7 linked regions of the Coturnix japonica genome follow. The protein of the gene in region 7 purifies or fractionates together with the protein of the main gene of each other region. This does not show direct contact. Links are inferred from orthologs where the notes say so. Each region holds a gene or a part of one and is shown on either strand. Other genes may lie near its edges.

Region 1 (3,033 bases), on a different chromosome or scaffold from region 7:
TCTGCAGTATTATGTTAACTGAATTGGGTGCTTGGTCCCCAGAGACTTGCCAGTCTCTTGCCTGAAGCTGTTGTCAATACAACATCATGCCCTGTCTGCAGCATTTGTAGAGTGAGGATAGTACTGTTATTCATGCTTAGAGAGAAAATTAGCTTATGAAGTGCTTGGTTAACAGAATAACCAGTTTTTATTGGGAAAGCTATCTATTAATACTATACAATGAGTGCATTCAAACTGCATTGGAGAGATAACTGGTTGTGAGCAGAGCAGAAAGATTGAGTACGTGGCAGTGAGGACTGCCAGAACTTGCTGTCAGCTCAGCCTTATGCTCCTTCCCTTGTGGATCCTGTTCTGGCTCCCTACTCCGTATTCCTGTTTGCCAGCTCTTTTATGCCAGCCTCACCTTAGTTCAGGTTCCTTACCCGTACACCCATTTTACCTCTGAACTCTACAGCGCTTGTTCATTACGGTTCTATATGAGGTATTCATTTAGGTTCCTATGGAGAGGTTCCTTGCTCTCAATGTTGCCTCCTGCCCCCAGTTTCCCCAGAGACCCTGCAACCTGAAGGGGCAACTCTCCCTGCTGTTCTAACTGTGCTGCACACACTGCTTGGATCTTAAGCTTGGCTTGGAAGGGGTTGAGAGCAGAGGCTTTGACTCAGAGTTCAGCCTGCAGCAGACATCCAGCATGTGAAACATCTGCTGAGGATTCACTTGAAACAGCAGCGTAGCCCCAAACACCTGTTGGCAAAGGGCCCACTCAGCTCTCACTGTGCCTTTGCTCTCTGCTCCTGAGCTTTCCTCTCTGAGCTTTGCCCTGAACCTGTTCATTTATGCTAGCGTCCCATGAGGACAACGCTAATTTATTGCACAGGAAAATGCTGCCTTGAAGCAAAACAACTGGCATGTCTGATGAGATGAGGTACTGATGAACCAGGTTTCAATGATTTGTACTTTATTCTCACAAGTGACACATTACCTCATCACGTGGAATTTGCAGCTGTGCCATTGGCATTAGAAGCAGCAAACAAATGTCACTTGGGTGATACCTTTGTTTGGCTGCTGTGCTCCAATTCTTACGCCCTCTGATTTCCCTGAATGATATTCTTCAAAAAAACGTGATCCCCAGATTTTATTAGACTTAAAAGTGGTTTGGTGTCTTTGCTTCGTTTCCTAGCTCAAAGTGACGAGCGCATCTGATACCTTTGCTGTCAATGTTTTTCCACCTACACAGGAATAAAGAGGTCGGCATTGTAGACAACATCAAGCTGTGCAGTAATGACCGTGGCACTGGGAAATTCAAGAAGGCCTGCATCACCGTCAGAGTTCCTCGAAACCCAACTGTTGGAGATAAATTTGCCAGCCGCCATGGGCAGAAGGGCATCCTGAGCCAGCTGTGGCCCGTCGAAGACATGCCGTTTACAGAGAACGGGATGGTTCCAGACATCCTCTTCAACCCCCACGGGTTCCCCTCACGTATGACCATCGGGATGTTAATTGAGAGCATGGCGGGGAAGTCAGCAGCGCTGCACGGTGCCTACTACGATGCCACTCCCTTCACCTTCACGGAGAAGAACTCAGCCTTGAAGTACTTTGGTGAGACTTTGGTGAGCGCGGGCTATAACTTCTTTGGGACAGAGAAGATGTACAGCGGAATCAGCGGCGTGGAGCTGGAGGCAGACATCTTTGTGGGGGTCGTGTACTACCAGCGCCTGCGCCACATGGTCTCCGACAAGTTCCAGGTGAGGACAACGGGCCCTCGGGATTCCGTCACCAACCAGCCCATCAAGGGGAGGAACGTGGAAGGGGGGATTCGCTTCGGTGAGATGGAGCGTGATGCGTTGTTGGCTCACGGCACCTCCTTCCTGCTGCACGACCGCCTCTTCAGCTGCTCCGATGCCTCTGAAGCCTATGTCTGCACCAGCTGTGGCAGCATGTTATCTCCTCTGCTCCAGCGCCCACCACCTTCCTCCGTGGCAAGCAACAGGAGGTACTCCTGCATGCTGTGTGGCAGTATGGATACCATCCAGGTCATCCCAGTGCCCCATGTCTTCTGGTACTTCTTGGCCGAGCTGGCAGCCATGAACATCAAGCTAAGGCTCACGCTGGAGCACTAATCCTGCAGTGAGAGAGAGGAAGCACGCCTTAGTCCTGCCCCTTATGGGCTTCAAGGGTTAAGTTCTCAGGTTTGTCAGGCAGTTCACAAGGTTAATTTCATGTTTGCGTTGTGATGGGGTGGTGCCGCACGGTGCAGAAATGCGGTCCCATTGGTGTTTGCACGTTGTAAGAGATTGCTATTACAACGTGTGTGGAAATCAAGCAGGATCACTGTTCCTACGGGCCGCCGGCTTGAAAGCGGTGTGAGTTTTCTGTTTGCTGAGAGCTGGCAGCAGCTGTAAAGATGAATAGGTCACAAACAGCATGAAGCGAATGCTGGGAGTGACGGTGCATTGCACTTTTTTTTTGTCATTATTTTTTATTTCAATATTTTGACCCAAAGAAGAAAGCAGATGGCTTTCCAGCCTGGCTCTTACCTTGGCTCCAGCGCTTCTTGGGTTGCAGAGGTGCACGGCCACAGGCAGGTTCTCAGCCCTGGGGCAGACTGTGTCCCCAAGTCCCAGCGGTGGCTGTGGCCTCTCCTCAGGTATGAGCCTCGTCTGGTTGGCACCAAGATTTTTATACATGTTAAGAGTTCTTTATATGTTTCTTTAAAAAAAAAAAAAGCATTTAAAGCTGTGGCTGCAGCCAGCCTTGCTGCGTCCTCCTGGGGGATCCAAGGGCAGCCAGGGGGGTGGTGGGATCTCCTGCCTGCCACAGTGGCTCAGGGCCGGCCTGGGTGGCTCTCCCAGGGCTTGGGTGGCCGCGGGAGCCGGGAGGCTGTGGGGCTGTCGTTTGTGGGTGAGGCGTTGGGGTACCGCACCCCGGCTGGGGCCTGGCCCCTCTGCACCAGCTGCAGCAGCTCAGCAAATGAAGGGGTGGCTGGGGCCGGGGGGGCTGAGTCCCCTGTCTGATCCGTCATAGCGCTGCCTGGCT
Region 2 (4,298 bases), on a different chromosome or scaffold from region 7:
CTATCAGAGCTGAGGGTGCTCACACAGCCCCTACCTTAGTGAAGTTCCACTTGATGGCACTGAGAGAGAGAAAAACAATGGGGTCAGAGGGGTAGAACCATCCCATTGCCCCCTCCCCCTCCATCACCACTCACTTCCCCAACGTTCCCCGGCCTTTGGGCTGCTCCTTCATCCACTTCCACAGCGGGTGGGCGCCGTCCCCATTGACCTCAATTTTACTGAACATATCGAACTTCACCCCGTAACCCTCCGCAAAGGCTTTGATCTGTGCATCATCCCCAGGCTCCTGGGGGGGGGGAAAAACAGGTATCACACGTGTAAACCCCACACAACCCCATATCTTTGCATTGAGGTGCCCACCTGCTTCCCAAACTGGTTACATGGGAAGGCCAATATGCGCAGCCCTTTCTCAGCGTATCGTGCGTGCAGGTCGACAAGCTGAGTGTAATTCACTGCAGTCTTTCCTCATTTGGAAGCCACGTTGGTGATGATGCAGACGAAACCCCTGGAGGGGTAAAATAGGGGGTAAAAGGAACCTCTGTGGGGGTAAATGGGGTAAAATAGGGGGTAAAAGGAACCTCTGTGGGGGTAAATGGGGTAAAATAGGGGGTAAAAGAAACCTCTGTGGGGGTAAATGGGGTAGAATAGGGGGTAAAAGGAACCTCTGTGGGGGTAAATGGGGTAAAAGGAATCTCTGTGGGGGTAATATGGGGAAAATAGGGGGTAAAGGGGGTGAAATAGGGGGTAAAAGGAACCTCTGTGGGGGTAAAAGGGGTAATATGGGGTAAAATATGGGGTAATATGGGGTAAAATAGGGGGTAAAAGGGGTGAAATAGGGGGTAAAAATGGGGTAAAATGGGGTAAAATAGGGGGTAAAAGGAACCTCTGCGGGGGTAAAATGGGGGGGGGGGTATATAATACAGCCCATTGCTGTGTTGCTGTATGGTACATATAATGTCTCTATAATGTCTATATAATGTCTATATAATATATATATCTAATAGACCTGTATTGCTCCAAGGCCACGTCTCGGCCGTCGATATCCGTGGCGTGGAAGTCATAGATGGAGGTGGCCGATCGCCATTCATCCGCCTGCGCGCACTGCGGGGCCCAGCGGTCACAAAGCGGCTCCGAACCCCCCCAACCCCCCCAGTACCGACCCGGTTCGGTTCGGTTCGGTTCTGTTCTGTCCCCCCCCACTCACCATTGTCCGCCCCGCTCCTCTCGCCGCCGCCGCCCCGCACAGCAGCGCCCGCCCGCAACGCCACCCCCACCCCATCCCGCCACCGCTCTCCCCCCCTTTGACCAATCAGCGATTAGGACGCGCGAAGGCACCGCCCACTTCTTGCAGTTGCGCAATGCGAGCCGCTCCCTTGGGTGATAGACAGGCGAAACCACCAATCAAATCAGCGAGGCTGCTGCAGTGTCAACAAGGGGGTGGTGTCCTTCCGCCATTCCACCCCGCCTACATCTCCCAGCGTTCCCCGCGGTCAAGGACCCCTCGCAGGGCAGCCCCGCCTGCTCGTTGTGGACAGGCATTGAGGCGGGCAGCCTCGTGGGGTCCTTCAGGAGGCAACATGGACGACGAGGAGGAGACGTACCGGCTGTGGAAGATCCGCAAGACCATCATGCAGGTGCGGGCCGGCCCGGTTCGGTTCGGTTCGATTCGGTCCGGTTTCAGGTCTCATATGTTGTATTTCCCTTTAGCTGTGCCATGACCGCGGTTACCTGGTGACTCAGGACGAGTTGGATCAGACGTTGGAGGAGTTTAAAGCTCAGTTCGGGGATAAACCCAGCGAAGGCCGCCCGCGCCGAACGGACCTGACCGTGTTGGTGGCACATAACGATGATCCCACGGACCAGATGTTCGTGTTCTTCCCCGGTGAGAAACGGGGCCGGGTCGGAACCGGGTCAGAAACGGGCTGGGACCGGGTTGGGACTGGGTTAGAACTGGGTTAGGACCAGGTTAGGACCGGGTTGGGACTGGGCTGGGTCTGGGTTAGAACCGGGCTGGGACCGGGTTTGGACCAGGTTGGGACCAGCTTAGAACCGGGCTGGAACCAGGTTAGAACTGGGTTGGGACTGGGCTGGGACCGGCTTAGAACCAGGTTGGAACCGGGTTAGGATCAGGTTAGAATTGGGTTAGAACCGGGCTGGGACCGGGTCAGAACGAGGTTGGGACCGGGTTAGGACTGGGTTAGAACTGGGCTGGGACCGCGTTAGGACCAGGTAGGGACCGGGTTAGAACCGGGCTGGGACCGGGTTAGAACTGGGTTAGAACCAGGTTAGGACCGGGCTGGGACCGGGTTAGAACCGGGTTGGGACTGGGTTAGAACCGGGCTGGGACCAGGTTTGGACCAGGTTGGGACCAGCTTAGAACCGGGCTGGGACCGGGTTAGGACCGGGCTGGAACCGGGTTAGAACTGGGTTGGGACTGGGCTGGGACTGGCTTAGAACCGAGCTGGGACCGGGTTAGTACTGGGCTGGGACCAGGTTAGAACTGGGCTGGGGTCAGGTTGGGGTCTGGTGGTGCTCCTGGTTCAATCTCACCCTGCTCTTTTCCTCCCTCAGAGGAACCCAAAGTCGGCATTAAAACCATCAAGATGTATTGCCAGCGCATGCAGGAGGAGAACATCACGCGGGCTCTGATCGTGGTGCAGCAGGGAATGACCCCATCGGCAAAGCAGGTACAGTGTGATGTGGCCCCGGGGCTCTTTGAGCTGTGCTGGGTCCATAAAGGCAGAGTTCAGGCTCTGTGCCTTAATACTGGGCTTATACATTGAGTGCACTGAGCTGGTGCTGGTTGGGCACAGAGATCTGTTTCCTCTCTGCCCATATGACCATATCAATGTGAGCACAGACACCGTGTTGCCCTCCTGCTGCTGTTCATCTTGGGGCATCTCTGAGCTCACACTGTCTCATATCAGTGCTACAACCTGATGTGCTTCTCCCTTCCCAGTCCTTGGTCGATATGGCTCCCAAATACATCCTGGAGCAGTTCTTACAGCAGGAGCTCCTGATCAACATCACAGAACACGAGGTGAGTGATTCAGGCCGGCCCTCCCAGCCCTGCCCTGTGCTGGGTTTCCCCACCAGAGCTTTGTTCCTCCCCCCAAGTCTTGCAGCTATGCAGAGCTGGTTGCTTTCTCAGACTCTTATGATCTCTCTTTCTCTCTCCTGTTTACAGCTGGTCCCAGAGCACGTTGTCATGACAAAAGAAGAAGTAACCGAGCTGCTGGCCAGATAGTATCCTTTGTTTGGTCCTTCCCTTGCAGTCAGGGTGTGATGAGTGCTTGTCTTGGGCAAGAAATGGATTCCTTTGAGTGTGTGATGTTCTGTTAGCTGTGCCCTGCCTCAGGACAAGCAGACACAGAGCTCCTCCTTGACTCCATGCAGTAAGCTGAGGGAGAACCAACTCCCCAGGATCCAGGCTGGGGATCCTGTGGCCCGATACTTCGGGATAAAGCGAGGCCAGGTAAGAGCAAATAGCCTGATAACAAACAGCAGGGCCCTGCAGGCAGGATGGGGAGCTGCAGCACAGTGTGTCAGAGCTTGGAGATGGGAAAGGTTTCCTCTTTGTTAGTGTTTTTGTTTCTGAACGTTATGGGTTATGTAGAGATGTGTGCAAGGCAGCAGATAGCCCTGGGGCCAGGCTTGGCTTCCTGCTGAACCAGCTGCTGTAACACCAGCCATCCCCCATTGCTCCTTTTGCTGCCCTTCCAGGTGGTGAAGATCATAAGACCGAGTGAGACCGCAGGCCGTTACATCACCTACAGGCTGGTGCAGTGATCAGAGCTCTCAGGTAATGTGTGAGATCCCCATCTACGGGCAGTGCTTTAAACTTATGCTGTGGTTTTCTAGGGGTGACTTGAAGTGAGTTGGCTCTGGGAAAGGATTCCCTCCTGATTTGCGAAGGGAACTGTATGGGATGGATCAGAGCAAAGCTATACTAGGGTTTGGTGCCTCAGTATCACAGCTGAAGGCACATCTCAATGTTCAGAGCAGCAGCAGGGCTTTGCTTTGAGAGCAGCTGCTGAGGGAGACATGAGCTCATTCACGTCCTGACTTATTTCTTCCAGTTGTGAAAGAATTCTGTGACATCTGATCTTCCCACCCACCACCAGCTCTCAGCTGTCTGCATTCGATGGCTGAGGAAGTTCTCTGTCCCTGCTGCCCCCCTGCAGTTGTTTTCCTTGTCCCAGTTCCTCATTTCCCAGCACGGATTTTGCTGCAAATCCTTCTGCTTCAATCAGGAACGCCATGAAAACACCTCGAAGCAACTGAATGACACAGGGAAG
Region 3 (3,323 bases), about 110 Mb from region 7:
CTATAATGAGCATCACAGAAGAGACGGTCATTAAGAGAAACTCACGTCTTCCAAACTGTCCTTGTCAGTGATTCCAGCATTAATCAGACATTGCTGTGAGAAACCCTGTAGAAACATATTGTTTGGTGGATGCCATTAAGGACAATTGTCTGCAGGAAGATGTGCTCTGTTCCCAGACAAGGACTAGCAGTTGGGTATGTCTGTCTGCAGCACAGTAACAGTGCATCAGTGTTTGGGCCTGAACTGGTACTTTTCATAGAGAAGGGCACTGTTGTGGCAGTGACAGAATTTGTCCCTGTAAAAGGTACATGTAGAAGCTTAAAACCAGCTGCGTGCAAATCCTTCAGCTTTGCTGTGTTACAGTTATGCACTGAATTCCTTGAATGAAATTTGGTCCTATTTTGATGATGAGAAGTTACTCTTTTTGTCTGGGCATTTTAAAATCTTAAGACCAGTTCTGGCACTATTGCCTTTTCCCGTACAGTGTAGCAGCAATCTTAGGATCAAATGGGTCTCTTGGATACTTCAGTTTCTATGACCTCTGTTTAATGGTAACTTACAATTTGTGCACACTGTGTCTTGTAACCTTTCTGGATGATCTCTGTGCACATACAAAACAGGCCCAGAAGGGTCTAGCTTCAAGGTATGGTGCAGTGAGTAGTCTGGGTTCCTCAGCCCCTAGCTGCTGTAATCAAACACTAGACAGCTGCTAAACAGAAAAGTCATGACTCATTGAGCTTCCAGGGAGGTGGAGGAGTCGCCATCCCAGGCAGTGTTCAGGAGGTATCTGGATGAGGAGCTATGAGATATGGTTTAGTGGCTTGTGGTAGTGGACGGTTGGACTAGATGATGTAGGTCCTTTCCAGCCTTGTGATTCTATGATTTTAATGCTTCTCCTGTGGAACGGTGCAGCGGAGAAGCGTGTTCTAGAGAGCAACTAGCTCAGCCTACTAACCTCTCTGTAGTCAGATCTAGGTGAAGTCAAACCAGTTACTTGGAGCCTCATTCCTCATCATAAACTAGAGAAATGTAATTAAACCTTCTATACAATTAGTTGTCAAAGCTTAGATGAGTTTCAAGAGGAGAAAAATAAATAAATACCCCAATTCTAGAGCATAAGGAGGTCAGTTTTTAAGAAAAAAACTCTTGGGGAAGTATGTCCATTAAAGAGAAGCAGCATAGTTAGGGAAGAGTAACTGTGGAAGGACTAATGGTGAGTTACAATGGTGAGTTTCATAACCAAGAATCTTGCTTAACATGAACCAGCCTTATTATATCTGGCTGCAGTGACACCCTCAGGCTCTAGGTCAAGGTCACTGATATCAGAAACAAGTGAGTAAAGCACTGGCTTTATTGCAGATGATTGTTCTTAGACTCATTCTGTACCACAGAAGCGTGTAGCAACTTTGCTGCTTGGAACTGTCATGACATAATGCCGAGAATATAAATATGGAACATAAAAGCAGAAAGAGAGCTTTGATAGACCATTAGGGAAGTGCTGGGACCTCTGTGTTCCCAAAGGCCTGGCTTCATCAACTCTCTAAAGCCAGAAGATGGAGAATACAAGAAAATCAGGAAATACAGAGATAAGAAACAGAATAAAAAGGAAAACCTGTCTCCCAGATTGAGTAAAGAGTGCAAAAACTATGCATTAAAGCAGTTTTACCAGACCTCCATCTCTGCAGAAGATTTTGCTGTTTCTACAGAGGGACCTAAGGGGAGAGATGCTCCTTTTCTGATCTATAGGAATGTGGATTGGTTTGAAGCAGCATAGGGTGACATTGTGAATAAGGGGGGGGGGGGAAATCTCAACTAAATGTGAGCATTCATTCTTTCTGCCTCTTTTTTGTGGCTACCTACAAGATGGAAACTAAATCATGAGTCATGTTTCAGAAATACTTTGTTCTGTTCACCTTTTGTTATTATGTAATGCTGAATATTTGTTGGCAGTTATGCAAGTGATGAAGAAGTAGAAGTCGGTCCTGATAGCTGCTAAGCACTGTGATTCTAGTCCAAGAAAAGTGCGGGTTTAACAGGGAGCTCTTGCTGACTTCATTCAGTTTGATTTAAGAGCCTGAAGTTGTGACTGCCTTAAGTGCTAATGCGTCTCAAGCACTCAGCTCCTTCTAGGAAAGAAAGGCAGTGTTTAGATGCAGGTGAAAATGGTGGATGGTGGCAACTGCTCTTTTCTGCAAAGTTTTGCTTGTGCATAAACTCTGGCTTTCTTTTTACTTGTTTCCATAGGTGCCATTACTGCAAATCATCGTGTCACGTGTCTTCTCTGCGGATACCTTATGCCTGTAAACTCTTATTCCAAGAACTGCAGTCGATGAATATCATACCTAGGCTAAAACTAGCTAAGTACAATGAATGAACAAGAAAAAGAAGAGAAAAAGTACTTCATATAAATTGAAATCCAGCCTATTATCTGGAAGATTTTTTGGTGAACAGGAGTAACTCTAAAACCTAAGTGGGCAGAAGGAGGTGCAAACCAGTTGTAGGAAGTCTTTTGTGTGTATTCTACCTGTTTTAATTTGGCAGAAAACACTTCATCAGTAACATCCGCTAGGAGTAGTTCTGAAAGCATTTATTAGTCATAGTGAACAAGGCATGTGGGAGTGGTGGAATGAAGCCATGATCCAGCGAAGCACATACATCCCTTTCAGGGATGTAGCAACCCCTTACTTTGTTAGGAAGAATGTTCTGCTGGACAAGGGCGTGAGCTGCCCTCAGGGCACATCCTATTCAGAGAGGTTAAAAACATGTTTTACAGACTGGTGGAATATGAAAGGCTAATAAATATTTTAAATAATAGTGCCTGAATTTGTGGTGCTGTGTTATGTAAGGATGGTGCAGCCTTCTCGTAATGTCTGAAACATTTTGCTATCCCTAAAGCACGTTATTAAAGCATTCATTAGTCAGTCTTGGAGATATGAAAGAACACCTCCTAGAGGATTTGAAATAGTCATTTTTAGAACAGATTTTTAGGTGATTTTTTTTAATAAGATGCAAGGTCTAAAGAGACCTAAAGCAGCAGATGAACCAAGAGTTCACTTAGAACTATAAACTATCCTGAGTCCTTTCTTAGGAAAGCACATTTACCTTTTTAACTGAAGTCAGGAGAAAGTATGTGCATGTTCAGGTGCCTGAGAGAAATACACCACACTACATGAGTCAGAATGCAGAACATTGACTGCAAAAGTCCTGAGGTGCCCTCTGCCTCTTCACACAGCTGAACTGTGGATGCTGATCCTGAGACAACTACACCAGTCATGTTGCTGCTGTTCCCTTAGCTGCATAGGATGCACAAATGAGTACCAGCT
Region 4 (3,500 bases), on a different chromosome or scaffold from region 7:
CATGTTTTTTTCCTGTATTGCTGAAATTCTTGCTGAAATGTCAGATGTTGAACACAGTTGTTCCTTTATTCTCCTCTTCTGTTCTCCCTTGTGCATGTTTTCTCTTCTGAGTATCATAACCTTACTTCCTTCTGCTTTCTATAGCAAAGGTATTACAGTTGCAAATCAGTGAACACTGCGAACATCTGTTGAATCTGAGTCACCTTCTGCTTCGCTTGTGATGTCTGTTTTCCTTTAGAGCAGTTTCATTTGTCTCTTTGTCTGCACGCTCTCTGTGCTTGATGTTTGAGTTTTTCTCTTTGCTGTGCTGCTTTGCTGCTTCCTTGCTGCTTGTGTTTTCCTAAAGCTCACGCTGGTTCTTTGGAAGAGCTGATTTTTATAGCTGGTGCTTTTGATCCTTTGTACTTTTGAGTAGCATCGCAGCCAAATAGCACTGAAATATCAGCACTGTCTGTCCTGCCAAAACACAGACCTTTATCAGTAGTTTCTGGTGGAAGAGCTGGCAGTGAGGATGCATGGATCTCAGGCACCGAGAGGTGAGTCCACAATGAATTTGCTGCAGCAACCGAACAAATGACGTCTTCCCTCTGACAGATGCTACAAATCTGTCAACAGAAGGGAATTCAGAGATGCATCGCCTCTTGGATCCAGCATCTTATTTTGAAGGAGCTTTTCTGAGCAGTTCAATCCAAGACATCAGTTACAGCACTGATGCACTTGGAACATGGAAGGCTATTTTTTTTCATCAACTTTCTGCAAGGGTGTCATTTCTTAAGCTGCCAGAGCAGCCACAGGAGCTCATCAGTCAGCGCCCTGAGCAGTGTCTGAGTCCTGCAGTCTTGTGTTCAACCGGTTCAATTGACATTGACATGAGTGTTCATAGTGAGAGCTGGGACATTACTCTTCAGCACTCAGCAGCATGTTAGAAGCAGTGATCAGACTTGTAAGTACAATTTGTCATCAGTGCAAAAGTTGAGAAGGGTTGCTGCTGATCTGGAAATACTGTTATCTGTTAAAGTTCTGATCAAAGCCTTCTGTTTAACTTGAGTTGTGAAGTACCTGAAGGTACAGGAGATCTCTGCCTGGAGAGAGGTGGATGCCCCATCTTTGGAGACACTCGTGGTCAGGCTGGGAGGGTCTCTGAGCACTGATGGGGCTGTGGGTGTCTGTGTGCATTGTGGGGAGTGGGATCAGATGGCCTTCAAGAGTCCCTTCCATCCAAAGTGATTTGATGATTCTCTGATTCTGTAAGAAGTATATGGCAAAGAAAGGGAATGGAGCTAACCCAGGGAGAGATCAAATTTAAATAGGGAAGAAGAGCAGACTACAAATGACCCAATAAATCAGATCTAACCCAGGCAAGGTGCCAGCTTTCTGAAGATATGGAAGCAATAACAAGTGCAGGACACATTGGCCCTGAGAGATAAATCAGCCTTTAGGTGATTTTGCCTGTCTCAAAGATGTCCATGGAGGTTTTAAGAACTGTGGAGATGTGGCACTGAGGGACTGGGTTGGTGGTAATGGTGAGGCTGGGCTGGGGTGGGGGATCTTAGTGGTCTTCCCAGCCTTAACCTGTGATTCTGTGATGTGGGCTTTTTCTTTGTCAGGTTTGTTCAGCTCCTGCTGCTGTGGTGCTGTCACCTTCAAAGCTGAATGCAGCAATCGTTAATGACACTACACTGATAACCCTGTCCAAAAAGCAGGCTCACAGCCCTCTACAAAACTGAGCAGCATAGATCATCTGGGGAGTAATGGCTGTGTCAGCAGTATTGGCAACAAAGACTGTATTTATGCACTGTAACACATTTCATTGCGTAGTGCTAATGCTCCAAGGTATTCCAGTTAACCTGCCCACATGGTCACCTCGGAGAAGCAGCCCTGAAGGCCGTTATCTGGTACCACTTCAATAGCTGCAGCAGTTGCTTACACAGAAGGGTAATGGTAGGAGTGTTCTTAGCATATTTTAACTTGTAATATATACTGTGACAGCTGACAGGAATGAGAGCCAAAGCTATTTTTCAAGCCAGGGTCCTACAGTAGTTCCTGAGCTAACCATGATTTGAAAGCCACTCCACAGAGGATTTCATCCTTTGATCAGCACAGCTCCCAGAAACAGTCATCTACAAATGGATCTTCGTCTGCCTTTTGCTACATGAGTGGTTTGTAGCATGCGTGCTTTCCTCTCATCAAGGGGCTGCGGGTAATGGCTGCTGAAAGATGACCCGATTGTGCAAAGAGGACTCATAGGACATGTCATAGGACACGGAGGGGAGGGGGGAAGGTAATTGAATATACCAATCTGGTTTTTAGAAGGCAAGATGTGTCTGAATGACTGATAATTTGCAGCTAGAAATGATTAAACCTGCATTGACTTGGAACTGTAATTAATATAAATCACCACACTTCAAAGGACATTTTAAAGGACTTTGCATAAAAAAAGCAAATCTCAAACCCTGCAGTCTTAATTGGTTTCATTTGCGTTTGAAGAGTTCATTTGGCTTATGCCTGCAGTCCTCTGACAAGCTTTTCCTTTTAGCAGCTGCCTATAAATTAGGGCAGCAGTTTTTACTGGTAGCAGCGATATAAGAGTTCCCGCAGCTCCACAGTGAGAGTAGGTCCCTAATTAATCTTATAGAATTTTATTGTTGATTCATGACAGCACGTTTTGTGTTGCTCAGAGCTTTTTATATGCTTTCATACTCCGGAAATCTACAATCAAAATAAGTTCTAATAACATACGGCTGCTCCAGGCACAGGTGGCTTCTTTTATGGTGCAATTACTTTCCTTCGAGGTGCTGGATGAGATACCCAGGTTCAGGTAACCAGTGTCGTGTTATCTCGTTTCACTTATCACAAGAACACACAGTTTGCTCAGGAACTTAAGAAATCTGGAAGGCAGCTCTGCACATGAGCTGATGAAAGGCCTGAGTCAAAATATGGATGTATGGATTGGGAAAGGTTTTAGCAGAAATGCAGATTAAAGGTTGCGTTATGTGTGCTGCTTTCCTTGTTTTGAAGAAGGCAGGGTCTCATTATGGAGTGCCTGTTGTCGTGGTTAACAATGGAGCTCTTCATTCTTCTGTAAATTCCAAGAGTTCCACTTTGTCGGAGCTCGTTACAAAAACATTCTACAATGTCTTTCATCCATTGAAAATAGTATTTCCCAATTAGTTTAGTCCTTTGGTTTGGAGCTGAGGGCAGAAGTATGGGTTTAATGATTTCAATGGATTGTTCTTGACCTACAGATGGTAGAAGAAAGCGAGGAAAGGCTGACAGAGGAGCAGATCGAGTCGCTTCTCCAGACAGTCGCCAGCATTCTTCCAGGGGATCCAGAAGAACAGCAGAGAGACTCAGCAATGGAAACTGAAGGCGGAGGCGGCCAGTAGCAGGAGGAATCTAGACCAAAGCCAGCAACAATTTCGGCAGAAGAGAATTGGTTAATCTTCTTCTATTTTTTACTCGATACCAGTTTCAGCTTGTATTGGGCATCATTGTAAAAT
Region 5 (3,500 bases), on a different chromosome or scaffold from region 7:
TAATTAATTCTGTTCATTTCTGTGCTTCTTTAACAGGTATTTGGAGCAGGGACATCAGATACAAAAGTAATTTGCCTTTAACGGAGATCAACAAGATATTGAAAAACTTGGAAAGCAAGAAACTAATTAAAGCAGTGAAATCTGTGGCAGTGAGTAATTTTTGACTTGTTGCTTTTTAACATTTCCAAATGTTTGCTACATGCTGTACATGTTTGAACGTGGAACAGGGAGCAGAGAAACCTTGTTCTGCCTCCAGCTTTGTCACTGCATGTGGACCAACATTTTACTCTTAACATTTACAATGTATGTTTGAGCTGTACCAGATCCAAGAGGCTGTCATGTTTGATAAGTAATAAACATACTATAGCAAACAAATTAATAATATAAGTAATAAATACACCGCCATTAATATACTGTTCTATTACCATTCATACTGCTGTTATATCTTACGTACAAATAGTCCACATGCGAGAGTAGGGCTTATTTTTTTCAGTACTTTTGTTATTCTGTTGTAATGCTTATGCAGCATCCTGCTCTGCCTTACCTGCTTCATTACAAATCATTGGCATGTGCATATTATTTGGGCACTCTCCTGGTTTCTAGCTCAGGGCTTGTTGCATACTAGCAATGTGTGTCCATCTTATCTAGGAGCTGTACACATCAATCCAGCTGACTCAAGTTATCATTACTGTGCCTTAGATTTTACCTTCATCTATTCAGAGCCATGTACTTTCTCTACCAGGCATCCAAGAAGAAGGTGTATATGCTGTATAACCTGCAGCCTGACCGATCGGTGACTGGTGGGGCCTGGTACAGTGACCAGGACTTTGAGTCTGAATTTGTGGAGGTGTTAAATCAGCAGTGTTTTAAATTTCTACAGAGTAAGGTAAGTGCCACTACTAAACTGATCCTTCATTTGTATTTGCAAATAAATCTTTTATTTCTAAAGCCAATGACAGACAAGGCTTCAGTTTTCCATGGTACTTCCTGTGAGTGTTACACTTTTTTGTAACCTTTGCAGTGAGTGGATCCTTCCTTCTCCAAACTGCAGTGACATCTCAGAAATGGTTTACAAAACAGCACTTTGCACTCTGCCCTAAACTGAGCTGTGAAGAAAGCTCTGTCACTGAGTGCTGACTGCAACTTGTCTTTGTGGTTTTCTTCCTCAGGCAGAAGCGGCTCGAGAGAGCAAACAGAACCCTGTGATACAGAGGAACAGCTCATTTGCCTCCTCCCATGAGGTGTGGAAATACATCTGTGAGCTGGGTATCAGTAAGGTCAGCATCAATTCATCTTTCTGCTCAGAATTGTCAGTACATGATTAGCTGCAGGAGTTGGGTCGTGCAAGTTTGGTGAGTGCTCTAGTTCCCTGCAGTTACTGCAGTGGAGGTGGACTTTGTTGCTTTGTTGCTTTTTGAGGATTGCCAGTGGTGCTGTATGGGATTCCAGGATAGTCTGTATGCGTGGGCCATTGTTGGTCACTACCAACAGGCTTCAGTACTCTTGTCCTTTTCTTCCACAACTGTTTTGTTGTAGGACAAGAAATATATCGTGCTGAGATAATATAGACACTTGAGGTGCATAGGAAAATTCTTTTGCGCTAGTAAAGGTTAATGTAGTCCAAGAAAAAGTCCAAGAAGTCTTGGGACTTTTCTTTTTGTATCTACACAACCCTATCAAGTGCCCAGTTAAGAGCTGTACCTGTAATGTGGGACAAGTTAGAAGGGCTCCTGGAAATGTCTGTTACTCGTGGGGGTTTGCTCTTGTTTCCTCATGTACTTAGTGGCAAACGTCTTTCCTATATTTATTTTACAAATTGTTCCTTAGGTAGAATTGTCAATGGAAGACATTGAAACCATTTTAAATACACTAATATACGATGGAAAAGTGGAGATGACTATTATTGCTGCAAAGGAAGGGACGGTCGGCAGTGTGGATGGACAGATGAAGTTGTACAGAGCTGTCAGTCCTCTCATACAACCCACTGGATTAGTCAGGACACCCTGTGGACTCTGTCCAGTAAGTAACAAATTCTTTACATGAATAGGTGGTACATGCACATTTTGGATGCAGTCCTTCAAATGGTCAACTGGTGCAAATGAAGGTTATGTCTGTGAGTGATTCTTGTGGGTTTCTAAGCCAAGTGTGCTCATGATGCCCATGAACATTATGTTGCATCATTTATTACAGCGGGTTCTGTTTTGCTTTGTTGTGCTCACGTTGCTCTTACTCCAAACTGGCACTGAACTTCCTCGACTTTGTTCTCAGCTAGACTACTGTTTTTCTACTTAGAAAGGAAAAGGAAACATGAGGCTCTGCTACTTCTAGTTAAGTCATGCTCGCTGCGTACAGTTACACAGGTCTGACACAGGTCTTTCTTTCTTCCCTAGGTTTTTGATGATTGCCATGAAGGTGGTGAGATTTCTCCATCTAACTGTATTTATATGACAGAATGGCTGGAGTTTTAAGGTGAAAGAAAACTGTAAACTCGATTCGTTCTTCACAGCTAAGATGACAAAGCAGCTTCTGGTTGTGAGCTACTTCAAGATGTGAAGTTCCTCTGGCTTTTTTCTTTTTAAGTAAACATAAAGCTGCAGCACATCAGCTGTGTGAGCAGTCCTGTAAGTGGACTGAAAATCAAACAAGCATTGAAGATCAAGGCTGAACGTAGTTCCCATCTTGTACAAAATGTAAGTGCCTGACTTGAGAAGCACAACAGAACAGCTGTGTGGTGAGGCATTGCATTCAAGGATTGTGTTGAATACTCAACAGACGCTTACTTCGAAGGAAAATAAGTCATCAGCTGATCAGAAGAACTTGCTAAGAAGCATTGTCAAGAATGAGATCCTAAACTTTGCTTTCAGACTTAGAGTGCTGGTGGGAGCTTAAGACCTAAAGCTGACACTTTCTTCCCTATGTAAAATAGGAATTGATGATTCTTTACCATCGTTCTTACCTGCTATGATCTATGATTAAAACTGTATTTGATTTTTTTTCATATCTATTTTGGTGCTTCATTTACTCCACTGCTGTCAGAGTCTGGTGATGTTTCTGTTGCATTTTCTGTTGGACAGCTACTGTGATCTGATTATCTGATCTGTGCTTCTGTGTTCTGGCAGCTGCATCATGCACATCAGTGTCAGCTGAAATTCAGAATGTAGGTATTCTGTGAAGATGTGTTTTCCAAACGAGAAACAGCTCTTCTGTCCTGGTTATACAGGTACAGTGAAAATTTGTGTAGGCTGTTTCGGTGCCCTGAGGATTACAAAAAGCACCAGAGTTAGCTGTTTGTACATAAATACGGATTGTGATTGAAGGCATGATACTGGCATACCATCAAAAAGCACGCTCTTATCTTCCTGTCACATAGAGCAGATTTCTTAGAATCACAGAATCATAGAATCACAAAGCTGGAAAGGACCCACAAGATCATCTGGTCCAACCGTCCTCCCATTACTGCTGCTACCACAAGCCACTAAACCATATCTCGTAGCTCCTCA
Region 6 (3,995 bases), on a different chromosome or scaffold from region 7:
AATACTTCCAAATGTCCAGCCTGAATCTCCCCTGACGCAGCTTAAAACCATTCCCTCTAGTTCTAAGTTCCAAGTTAGCAAGAAACAGCAGGTAGGGACAGAGGCGCTGTCACAGAATCACAGAATTGTAGGGGTTGGAAGGGACCTCTAGAGATCATTGAGTCCAACCCCCCTGCCAAAGCAGGCTCCCTACACCATGTCACACAGCTCGGCGTCCAGGCGGGTCTTAAATATCTCCAGAGAAGGAGACTCCACCACCTCCCTGTGCAGCCTGTTCCAGTGCTCCGTCACCCTCACTGTAAAGAAGTTCTTATTAAGGAACTTCCTATGCTGTACTTTCATCCCATTACCCCTAGTCCTATCCCCACACACTACTGAAAAGAGACCAGCCTCACCACTATGGCCCCCACACCTCAGGTATTTATAAACCTGGATCAAGTCCCCTCTCAGCCTTCTTTTCTCAAGGCTCAACAGACCCAGTTCCCTAAGTCTCTCCTCATAGGGGAGACGCTCCAGGCCCTTCACCATCTTTGTGTCCCTCCACTGGAGTCTTTCCAAGAGATCCCTGTCTTTTTTGTACTGGGGAGCCCAGAACTGGATACAATATTCCAGATGAGGCCTTAATAGGGCAGAGTCGAGTGGGAGGATCACCTCCTTTAACCTGCTGGACACACTCTTTTTAATACACCCCAGTATGCCATTGGCTACAAGGTGCTAGCAGCGTGTTAGCACCTCCCCAACCCAAGTACCGTCCTCCACATCACGGCTATGATGAGCAACGACATGAACGTGAGACAGGAGGGCCTAACCCCAACCCTAACCCTAACCCCAACCCTAACCCTATAACCCTATAACCCTATAACCCTCCTAGCATCACACCAGGACCCCCTCACACCCCACCCCTCGTGTAACGCATCCCATCGCTCTGTCCCTCCCTCCAGTGACCGCAGTGGGCACCGCCGCCGTTACAGACCCGCTCCAGGCTCCTCCTTCAGCACCAGTGAAGCAGTGCGGGCAGCGGGGCCGGCACACCGCCTGTTGTTCCCGTGCTGTTCCCCTGTTGTTCCCCGCTCACACCGGGCCCAGCGGCACCGAACCCGCCGCGCTACGACGCTCCGGCCCCGCGCTCCACCCCCGCTCCCACCCTGTCGCCGCGTCGGCCGGAAATGACGCCATATTGACGAGAGGATGTGACGTCATCTCGGAGCGCCCCCACCGGAAGTGCCGCCATTACGGCGTGGCGCCTGGCCTGTTCCTGTGTGTACCGGGTATGGCCACCGCCACGTGGAGATACCGCGGGGATCCCGAGCAGGAGCAGCCGGCAGTGCTGGGTGAGCAGAGATGCGGGATGGGCGGTGCGGTGCGGTGAGGTGCTGAGGGACTCACGGCCTGTTTTATCGCCCGTAGTGACGTTCTCCAATGGGCAGCTGCAGCGACCCGACGCCGTGCGGTTCTCGCTGTACCGGAGCAGCGAGGTGTCCAACCCCAGGAAGAGAAGGCGGAGGATCCTGGTAAGGCCCGGCATCACCGGGGGTGGGATCTATGGGGTCTATGGGGTCTCTATGGAGAATCTGTGGGGTCTCTGTGGGGAATCTGTGGGGTCTGTGGGGTCTCTATGGGGATCTATGGGGACTGTGGGGTCTCTATGGGGTCACTATGGGGATCTGTGGGGTCTCTGTGGGTCTCTATGGGGGTCTCTATGGGGATCTATGGTGTCTATGGGGGTCTATGGGGATCTCTGGGGTCTCTATGGGGTCTCTATGGGGGTCTCTATGGGGTCTCTGTGGGGATCTGTGGGGTCTCTATGGGGTCTCTGTGGGGATCTGTGGGGTCTCTATGGGGATCTATGGGGTCTCTGGGTCTCTATGGGGGTCTCTATGGGGATCTATGGTGTCTATGTGGTCTCTGTGGGGATCTGTGGGGTCTATGGGGTCTCTATGGGTCTCTGTGGGGTCTATGGCGTCTCTATGGGGGTCTATGGGGTCTCTATGGGGATGTATGGGGTCTATGGGGTCTCTATTTGGATGTATGGGGTCTCTATGGGGGTCTATGGGTCTCTATGGGGTCTCTGTGGGGGTCTCTTTGGGGTGTATGGGGTCTCTTTGGGGTGTATGGGGTCTCTTTGGGGTCTCTATGGGGGTCTATGGGGTCTCTATGGGGATCTAAGGGGTCTCTATGGGTCTCTATTGGGATCTATGGGGTCTTTATGGGGATCTGTGAGGGTCTATGGGGTCTCTATGGGGATCTCTATGGGGGTTTATGGGTATCTGTGGGATCTGTGGAGTCTCTATGGGGATCTGTGGGGGTCTTTGGGGTCTCTATGGGGATCTATGGGGTCTCTATGTGGGATCTTTGGGGTCTATGGGGTCTTTATAGGTCTCTGTGGGGTCTATGGGGTCTCTGTGGGGATCTGTGGAGTCTCTGTGGGGATCTATGGGGTCTCTGTGGGGATGTATGGGGTCTGTGGGGTCTCTATGGGGATGTACGGGGTCTATGGGGTCTCTATGGGGATGTACGGGGTCTGTGGGGTCTCTATGGGGATGTATGGGGTCTATGTGGTCTCTGTGGGGATCTATGGGGGTCTGTGGGGTCTCTGTGGGGATCTGTGGGTCTCTATGGGGTCTCTATGGGGATCTATAGGGTCTCCTGGGCAACCTGATCTAGTAAATGTGTATGTTTGGTGGCCCTGCTAGGCAGGGGGGTTGGAACTACATGATGCTTGAGGTCCCTTCCAACCTGGGTCATTCTGTGATTCTGTGAAAGTCCTAAAGATCATCCAGTCCAACCGTTCTCCTATTACCAATAGCTCCCCCTAAACCATGTCCCTCAACACAACATCCAGTCGTTCCTTGGGCACCCCCGGGGTGATGATCCTCTGGTTTGTAATGTTGCCTTCCCACAGCTCTGTGCCACTTGGCTCATTCTGACATCTAACACTTGTTCTGTAAACCGAGAAAGGCTTTGAGTAACTGCATCAAGCAACCTTAAGCACTGCGAGTAGGATGTGCAGGTGACTGGTACAGAATGCTCCTTTCCACTGCCTCTTTCACAGACTGCTCCTACTGCTTTAAAGGATGGTTTATTTATTTACTTTATAAAGTATAAAGTAAATGGAATATGTAAAGTAAAGTAAAGGAATATGATTTAGCTGAGAAATATCGGTAATGGTTGGACTAGATGATCTTGTAGGTCTTTTCCAACCTTGATAATTCTGTGATTCTATGGTGACCGTGGCAAATTTGAGCTTTGTGTCACTAGAGATACAGTACATGCAGGAAAATATGCACTTTCAAATAATGCACTCTTCAAGTAATTTTTTTCTTTGTTTGTCAGGTTTCAGAAACTGAAAGGCTTTCATACGTGGGGAATAACTTCAGCAGTGGATCTATGAAAAGCAACTCCCTATGCAGGTATGGGTAGCTGGCAACGCTGTGGCAGAAACAGGGAGGGGAAAGCAGAGGAACTGCACAAATAAAGTATTTTCTGTAGCCTTCTGTATTGGGGACTGATGAGTTCTCATTGAGACCATGGTGTGAATGGAGAGGATTGGGGCAGTTGATATAATCTCCTGGCAGCTGCACCATTTTGCATGTTGTGATCTTACACATAAGTGGAGTTTAGGTCTGCTGGAGGGAAGAAAAGTGAGAAGGTGTCTGCACATAGCTGAAACCTATGGACAACAGCATTATTCCTTCTTAACTGTTGTCTCGCTCCAATTTAGGAGTGAGGCAAAGGTTCTTTTAATAATGTTATGCCCGGCGTGAGATTAAGAAGAAGAGCATTCAAATGTTGATCCGACCAGTTTATTGGAAATAATAGACAATTGAGGGGATGGGGAAGGGAGAGTGACGAATGCCAAAATTAGGGTGATGGGGAAGGGAAAGTAGGCGATAGAAAAAGGTAGAAAAGAGCAAGAATTACGTTAAAGCGGGGAATAGTCACCTCCTGGATGCAGCAGCGTCCCGTAGCACGTTGTTAACGTTGGTCCGGGGCAA
Region 7 (4,160 bases):
AATCCTTACAATTCCCTGCATTTGGAGTCAACCATATAGAACTGGCTTCAGGAAAGAGGGGATTCCTCACTTTAGAAGTCAATGCAAGAAGGTCCCAGTCGGTTTTGTTGTTCCCAAAGGTGTGCTCACAAACCTTGTCTCTGGAGGGATGGTAATGAAGTCACGGCAGCATATGGCACCGCCGTGTTTGCTCCCAAGTGCACAGCCGCTAACCGGAGCCATCTGATGCTCCCCCTAAGCTCCCTGATCTGCGGTGGGATTGAAGCTTACAGCAAAGCTTCGTGGAGCCCAAAGGAAGACAATGGTTTGCAGACACACAGAAATCACTCATTTACTTTAACGGGGGCCCAGCTCGGATCTGGGTCTCTGCTGAGCAAAAGCTCTGATGCGTTTACGAGCAGGAGTGCATTTCCAGAGAGCATCAAACACGACCCAAAGCCGATCCGTGTCATTTTCCCGTCGCACACAGAGAGCAACGAGATCACGTAATTAAAATAGGAATTAAACGAAGCTCGGGCGTACTTAATGGTGGATTCCTACAGCAGGAAACAACCAACGCCCCGCACCGGGAGCGTGGTCACAGGAGCCCCATGGGGCCGAGCAGCCTGTCAGTGCCATAGCACTCCCTACCCGCTCGGCTGAGCACCAACACACAGCGAGGAGCAGTAACACGGCACGCCTCGGGAAAGTTCACAAGGCGCCGCACTGCAAGTTTTCCAACCGCACCTTCGGTTTAAACGAGAGGGGAGAGAAAAGAGCAGCCTGGCATCGATGTGTGCGCTCCGGCGCTGCCCACAACTCTCCCTGCCCTCCGCCCTCCCCAGGCAGCGGTAACGCGACTCCGGAGTCACGGCTCCAGCACAACTCCCCGAAGCGGCCCGGCGCTGCTCTCCCCCTCCCGCACTTGTTGCGGCCCCGCAGGCCCCGCCGCAGGCCCGGCCCTGTCCCGGGGGAGGCCCCCGCCCCGCGGAGCGCAACGAGGGGCCGGGCCGCCCCCAGGGGACCGAGCGCGTTGCGGGGCACGGACTTACCACGGCGGCACCCGGCTCCTCACGGCGGCAGCCGAACTCCGGGCGGCCACTCGGCGCGGCGCCTCCCTCCCCACCGCCCGGCCCCGCTCCCCGCCTCCCCCGGGGCAGCGTAAGTGACGCCGCGCTCCGCCACTCCGGCGGCAGCCCCGGGGCGCGGGGCCGGGCGCGGGGCCGGCTCAGCCTATGGCGGAGCGGCCGAGGCGGGACGCACCGCAGCCCCGGGCCGGGAGGGACCCTCCGCCCTACGGAGCGCAACCCGGGGCGGGGCGGGGCGGGGCGGGGCGGGGTGGGCAGCGCTGCCGCCAGGGCTCCATCCCCGCCCCGCCCGGCACCGCCCCCTCCCCGCCGGATCCGGAGCTGCGCCTGCTCGCTCCGCCTCGAGGAGCTGGGCTGAGAGCGGCTATGGCGTCTGTGTCAGCGTGAGGAGCCGGGCTGTAGTCTGCCATGGAGGAGGATCTGGAGTTGGAGAGGTGAGGGGCGGCCGTACTGTGCTGCGGGTTCTCCTTCGCTCTGGGCTGCGCTTGTAGGGCCAGTGAGGCCTTGGGGCTGGTCCTGTGTCGGCTCCCGGCCTGTAGGGCCTGGCTTGTGCGGCCTGTGCTCGGCCCTGAGCCCTCAGCCCATTGCTACGCATCTCTGCGTAATGCGGACCGCTCTTGTAATGTCATTTATACGCGAGAGATTTAAAAGTCGTATAAATGGGTGGTTAAAGTTATTTGGTTAACGCGTAGAGGCTGAACTTTTTGCAAGCAGCTGCATGGAACTGTTACAGCGAAGTGATGGCTGAGAATCTCATGGTTCCGTCTCATAACTTTTAAGAAATGTGTTTGAGAGTGCTGATGGGAAGGCCTGCTAAAAAGGACCTGGGGGTACTGCTGGATCACAGGCTAAACATGAGCAGCAATGTGCCCTGGCAATCTAGAAGGCCAACCTGTGCTGCATCCAAAGCAACATGGCCAGCTGGCCAAGGGAGTGATCCTGCCCCTCTGCTCTGTGCTGGTGAGGTCTCACCTGAAGTACTGGAGAGACATGGAGCTGTTGGAGCACATCCAGAGGAGGGCCACAGAATGACCCAGGGGATGGAATGCCTTCCTACAAGGACAGGCTGAGAGAGCTGGGGCTGTTCAGCCTGGAGAAGAGAAGGCTCCAGGATGACCTGAGAATGGCCTTTCAGTATGTGAAGGGGGTCTATAAGAAAGAAGGGGACAGATGCTTTAACAGAGTCTGTTGCAGTAGGACAGGGGGATATGGTTTCAAAGCAAGAGAGTGGAGACATAGATTGGATGTAAGGAAGAAGTTCCTTTACAATCATTGTGGTGAGGCACTGGCACAGGTTACCCTGGGAGGTGGTGGATGCTCTGTCCCTGGAAGCTCTCAAGGCCAGGCTTGACAGGGCTCTGATCTAGCTCTAGATATCCCTGTTCATTTCAGTGGGTTGGAGCAGGTGACCTTAAGGGATCCCTTCTAGTGGAAGTGATTCTCTGTTAAGTCACTTCTTTCAGCTTAGATCTACCACATCTTTGAAATGAGATACGTATGATGCCACTGGGGTGGTGGGGGGGATAGAGAATGTAATGCTTTCCAAGAAGCCTTAATTCTTGGTAGGGCACTTCCTCACTCAGATCATCAGTTTAATTATTAAAGCTTCTTTCTATATAGACACAAATGCTCTTTTTGTTAGTGCCACTCCAAACCTAAGCACTTTTTGCTTGCAGCCAGTGCTTTGTGTTTCCACTTCTTAAAGGGAGCTTATAAGCAGGAGGGAGACTAAAAGTTTTACACAGGTAGTAGTAGGAAAATGGGGAGCGGTTTTAAACTAGAAGAGAGAAGTCTTAGGTCAGATATTAGGAGGAAATTCTTTACTTAGGGAGTGGCACGTCACTGGCACAGGCTGTCCAGAGGTACTGTGGGAACTATAACTATTTTTGTATGTGTTTTTTCAGGTCTGAAGTAAGTTTTGTTTCTTAACATTCCAGACTGGGATCTGCTAAGAGAAGCTACTTATCTATAGTTGTTTAGGAAGAGTCTTCATCCAGCTTGCCTTGTTTTTCCATGTCTGACTCATGCTTCATCTTGCATCTGATGCTTTCTTCACTTCATAGGAGTCTCTGTAGAAGGGGAATGCTCACCTGCAGGTTACAGTGCAACTCTTGCATAGTATGGATTTAAAAAATAAGGAGTAGTCTTAAAATCAGTGAAATATTACTGTTCACTGCATTTTACTGAGTTATTTCCCATTTCACCCAATAACCTTTGTTGGAAGCATAAGCTGGTGTTTTTTCCTCTGGTATGTCAGTGCAGATCCAGACTGTAAGCCAGAAATATCTTGTGATCCTAAGGAAATTCTGGGATTAATCCTGTTAGTGTATAATGATGATGTTAAGGTATACCCAATAGTCACTACTATAAACCTTATGGATCAGCTACCAGAGGCTGGTTGTTTCTGCTATAAGCATGTGTACTTGCTTTTGCTACTTAATTTCTACTGCATATCCCCATCTCTTCCTCCCCCACCTCCCCTTCTAAATGGTCTCTGTGCTTTGTGTCTTTGTTGGAAGCACAGGGAGAAAAAAAAAATGAGGTTTCTCTGACAGTGTAAAGGAAGAGATTTTATATTACCATGTATCAAAACTGTTCTATAGTCAGATCTGCCTCTCATTAGCTATAAATATTTCAGAATCTTATTAGAATTGCCTACCAAGCCTTCTTGGAGCATCATCTCGGTAGTAAGTGTTTCCTAAAGGGGATACTGTTCTAAATTCCAAGACCATTACTGGGTTTAGTAACAAGAAGCCTCTTGTTGAGTTGAGAATTCATAGCCATCTTGCTGCACAGATGTCCTAATTACACTCCTTAACAAGTAAGCTTTGCACCTTGGTAAAATTAATTGACATTTCTTGCTATTGTTTTTAACAGTAAAAATAGAAATGTCGTAATTAGGTCATTATTTCCCATTTTTTCCCTATCTCCTATGGCAAAAATTGGTCTGCAAGCTGATATTGTTTCAGATTAGATTAAGTGGTATCTTCACTGTTGAGAATATCAGCGTGGAAATGTTCTGAAAATAGCACTTATGAGACTGACAAATGGAATATTTAAACAAGCTACAATCTTGATCTACGAAAGATGGTT

The links.
Region 1: the proteins of protein POLR1D (region 7) and POLR1B purify together in Homo sapiens (affinity purification with mass spectrometry; 5 studies listed by BioGRID and IntAct, with this or other methods). This does not show direct contact. The link is inferred for Coturnix japonica from reciprocal best matches to the Homo sapiens genes POLR1D and POLR1B.
Region 2: the proteins of protein POLR1D (region 7) and POLR2E purify together in Homo sapiens (affinity purification with mass spectrometry; 4 studies listed by BioGRID and IntAct, with this or other methods). This does not show direct contact. The link is inferred for Coturnix japonica from reciprocal best matches to the Homo sapiens genes POLR1D and POLR2E.
Region 3: the proteins of protein POLR1D (region 7) and POLR3B purify together in Homo sapiens (affinity purification with mass spectrometry; 6 studies listed by BioGRID and IntAct, with this or other methods). This does not show direct contact. The link is inferred for Coturnix japonica from reciprocal best matches to the Homo sapiens genes POLR1D and POLR3B.
Region 4: the proteins of protein POLR1D (region 7) and CRCP purify together in Homo sapiens (affinity purification with mass spectrometry; 5 studies listed by BioGRID and IntAct, with this or other methods). This does not show direct contact. The link is inferred for Coturnix japonica from reciprocal best matches to the Homo sapiens genes POLR1D and CRCP.
Region 5: the proteins of protein POLR1D (region 7) and POLR3F purify together in Homo sapiens (affinity purification with mass spectrometry; 3 studies listed by BioGRID and IntAct, with this or other methods). This does not show direct contact. The link is inferred for Coturnix japonica from reciprocal best matches to the Homo sapiens genes POLR1D and POLR3F.
Region 6: the proteins of protein POLR1D (region 7) and POLR1E purify together in Homo sapiens (affinity purification with mass spectrometry; 3 studies listed by BioGRID and IntAct, with this or other methods). This does not show direct contact. The link is inferred for Coturnix japonica from reciprocal best matches to the Homo sapiens genes POLR1D and POLR1E.

The regions. Positions count from the first base shown.
Region 1 is NC_029518.1:13,955,877-13,958,909, forward strand, and holds the end of POLR1B (DNA-directed RNA polymerase I subunit RPA2), read left to right. Parts: intron 1-1,234; coding exon 1,235-2,117; 3' UTR 2,118-2,533; downstream 2,534-3,033. UniProt on the Homo sapiens protein: Catalytic core component of RNA polymerase I (Pol I), a DNA-dependent RNA polymerase which synthesizes ribosomal RNA precursors using the four ribonucleoside triphosphates as substrates.
Region 2 is NC_029543.1:2,009,030-2,013,327, reverse strand, and holds the start of POLR2E (DNA-directed RNA polymerases I, II, and III subunit RPABC1), read left to right. Parts: upstream 1-1,498; 5' UTR 1,499-1,577; coding exon 1,578-1,634; intron 1,635-1,707; coding exon 1,708-1,882; intron 1,883-2,571; coding exon 2,572-2,687; intron 2,688-2,959; coding exon 2,960-3,040; intron 3,041-3,187; coding exon 3,188-3,246; intron 3,247-3,396; coding exon 3,397-3,475; exon of another isoform or gene 3,476-3,723; coding exon 3,724-3,789; 3' UTR 3,790-3,802; intron 3,803-4,079; 3' UTR 4,080-4,298. UniProt on the Homo sapiens protein: DNA-dependent RNA polymerase catalyzes the transcription of DNA into RNA using the four ribonucleoside triphosphates as substrates.
Region 3 is NC_029516.1:49,181,310-49,184,632, reverse strand, and holds the end of POLR3B (DNA-directed RNA polymerase III subunit RPC2), read left to right. Parts: intron 1-2,244; coding exon 2,245-2,374; 3' UTR 2,375-2,823; downstream 2,824-3,323. UniProt on the Homo sapiens protein: Catalytic core component of RNA polymerase III (Pol III), a DNA-dependent RNA polymerase which synthesizes small non-coding RNAs using the four ribonucleoside triphosphates as substrates.
Region 4 is NC_029534.1:3,815,473-3,818,972, forward strand, and holds part of CRCP (DNA-directed RNA polymerase III subunit RPC9), read left to right. Parts: intron 1-3,245; coding exon 3,246-3,386; 3' UTR 3,387-3,500. UniProt on the Homo sapiens protein: DNA-dependent RNA polymerase catalyzes the transcription of DNA into RNA using the four ribonucleoside triphosphates as substrates.
Region 5 is NC_029518.1:13,399,183-13,402,682, reverse strand, and holds the end of POLR3F (DNA-directed RNA polymerase III subunit RPC6), read left to right. Parts: intron 1-36; coding exon 37-149; intron 150-742; coding exon 743-886; intron 887-1,169; coding exon 1,170-1,277; intron 1,278-1,827; coding exon 1,828-2,019; intron 2,020-2,390; coding exon 2,391-2,468; 3' UTR 2,469-3,000; downstream 3,001-3,500. UniProt on the Homo sapiens protein: DNA-dependent RNA polymerase catalyzes the transcription of DNA into RNA using the four ribonucleoside triphosphates as substrates.
Region 6 is NC_029547.1:66,747,554-66,751,548, reverse strand, and holds the start of POLR1E (DNA-directed RNA polymerase I subunit RPA49), read left to right. Parts: upstream 1-1,195; 5' UTR 1,196-1,270; coding exon 1,271-1,331; intron 1,332-1,407; coding exon 1,408-1,511; intron 1,512-3,333; coding exon 3,334-3,410; intron 3,411-3,995. UniProt on the Homo sapiens protein: Component of RNA polymerase I (Pol I), a DNA-dependent RNA polymerase which synthesizes ribosomal RNA precursors using the four ribonucleoside triphosphates as substrates.
Region 7 is NC_029516.1:157,557,116-157,561,275, reverse strand, and holds the start of protein POLR1D, read left to right. Parts: upstream 1-1,360; 5' UTR 1,361-1,475; coding exon 1,476-1,501; intron 1,502-4,160.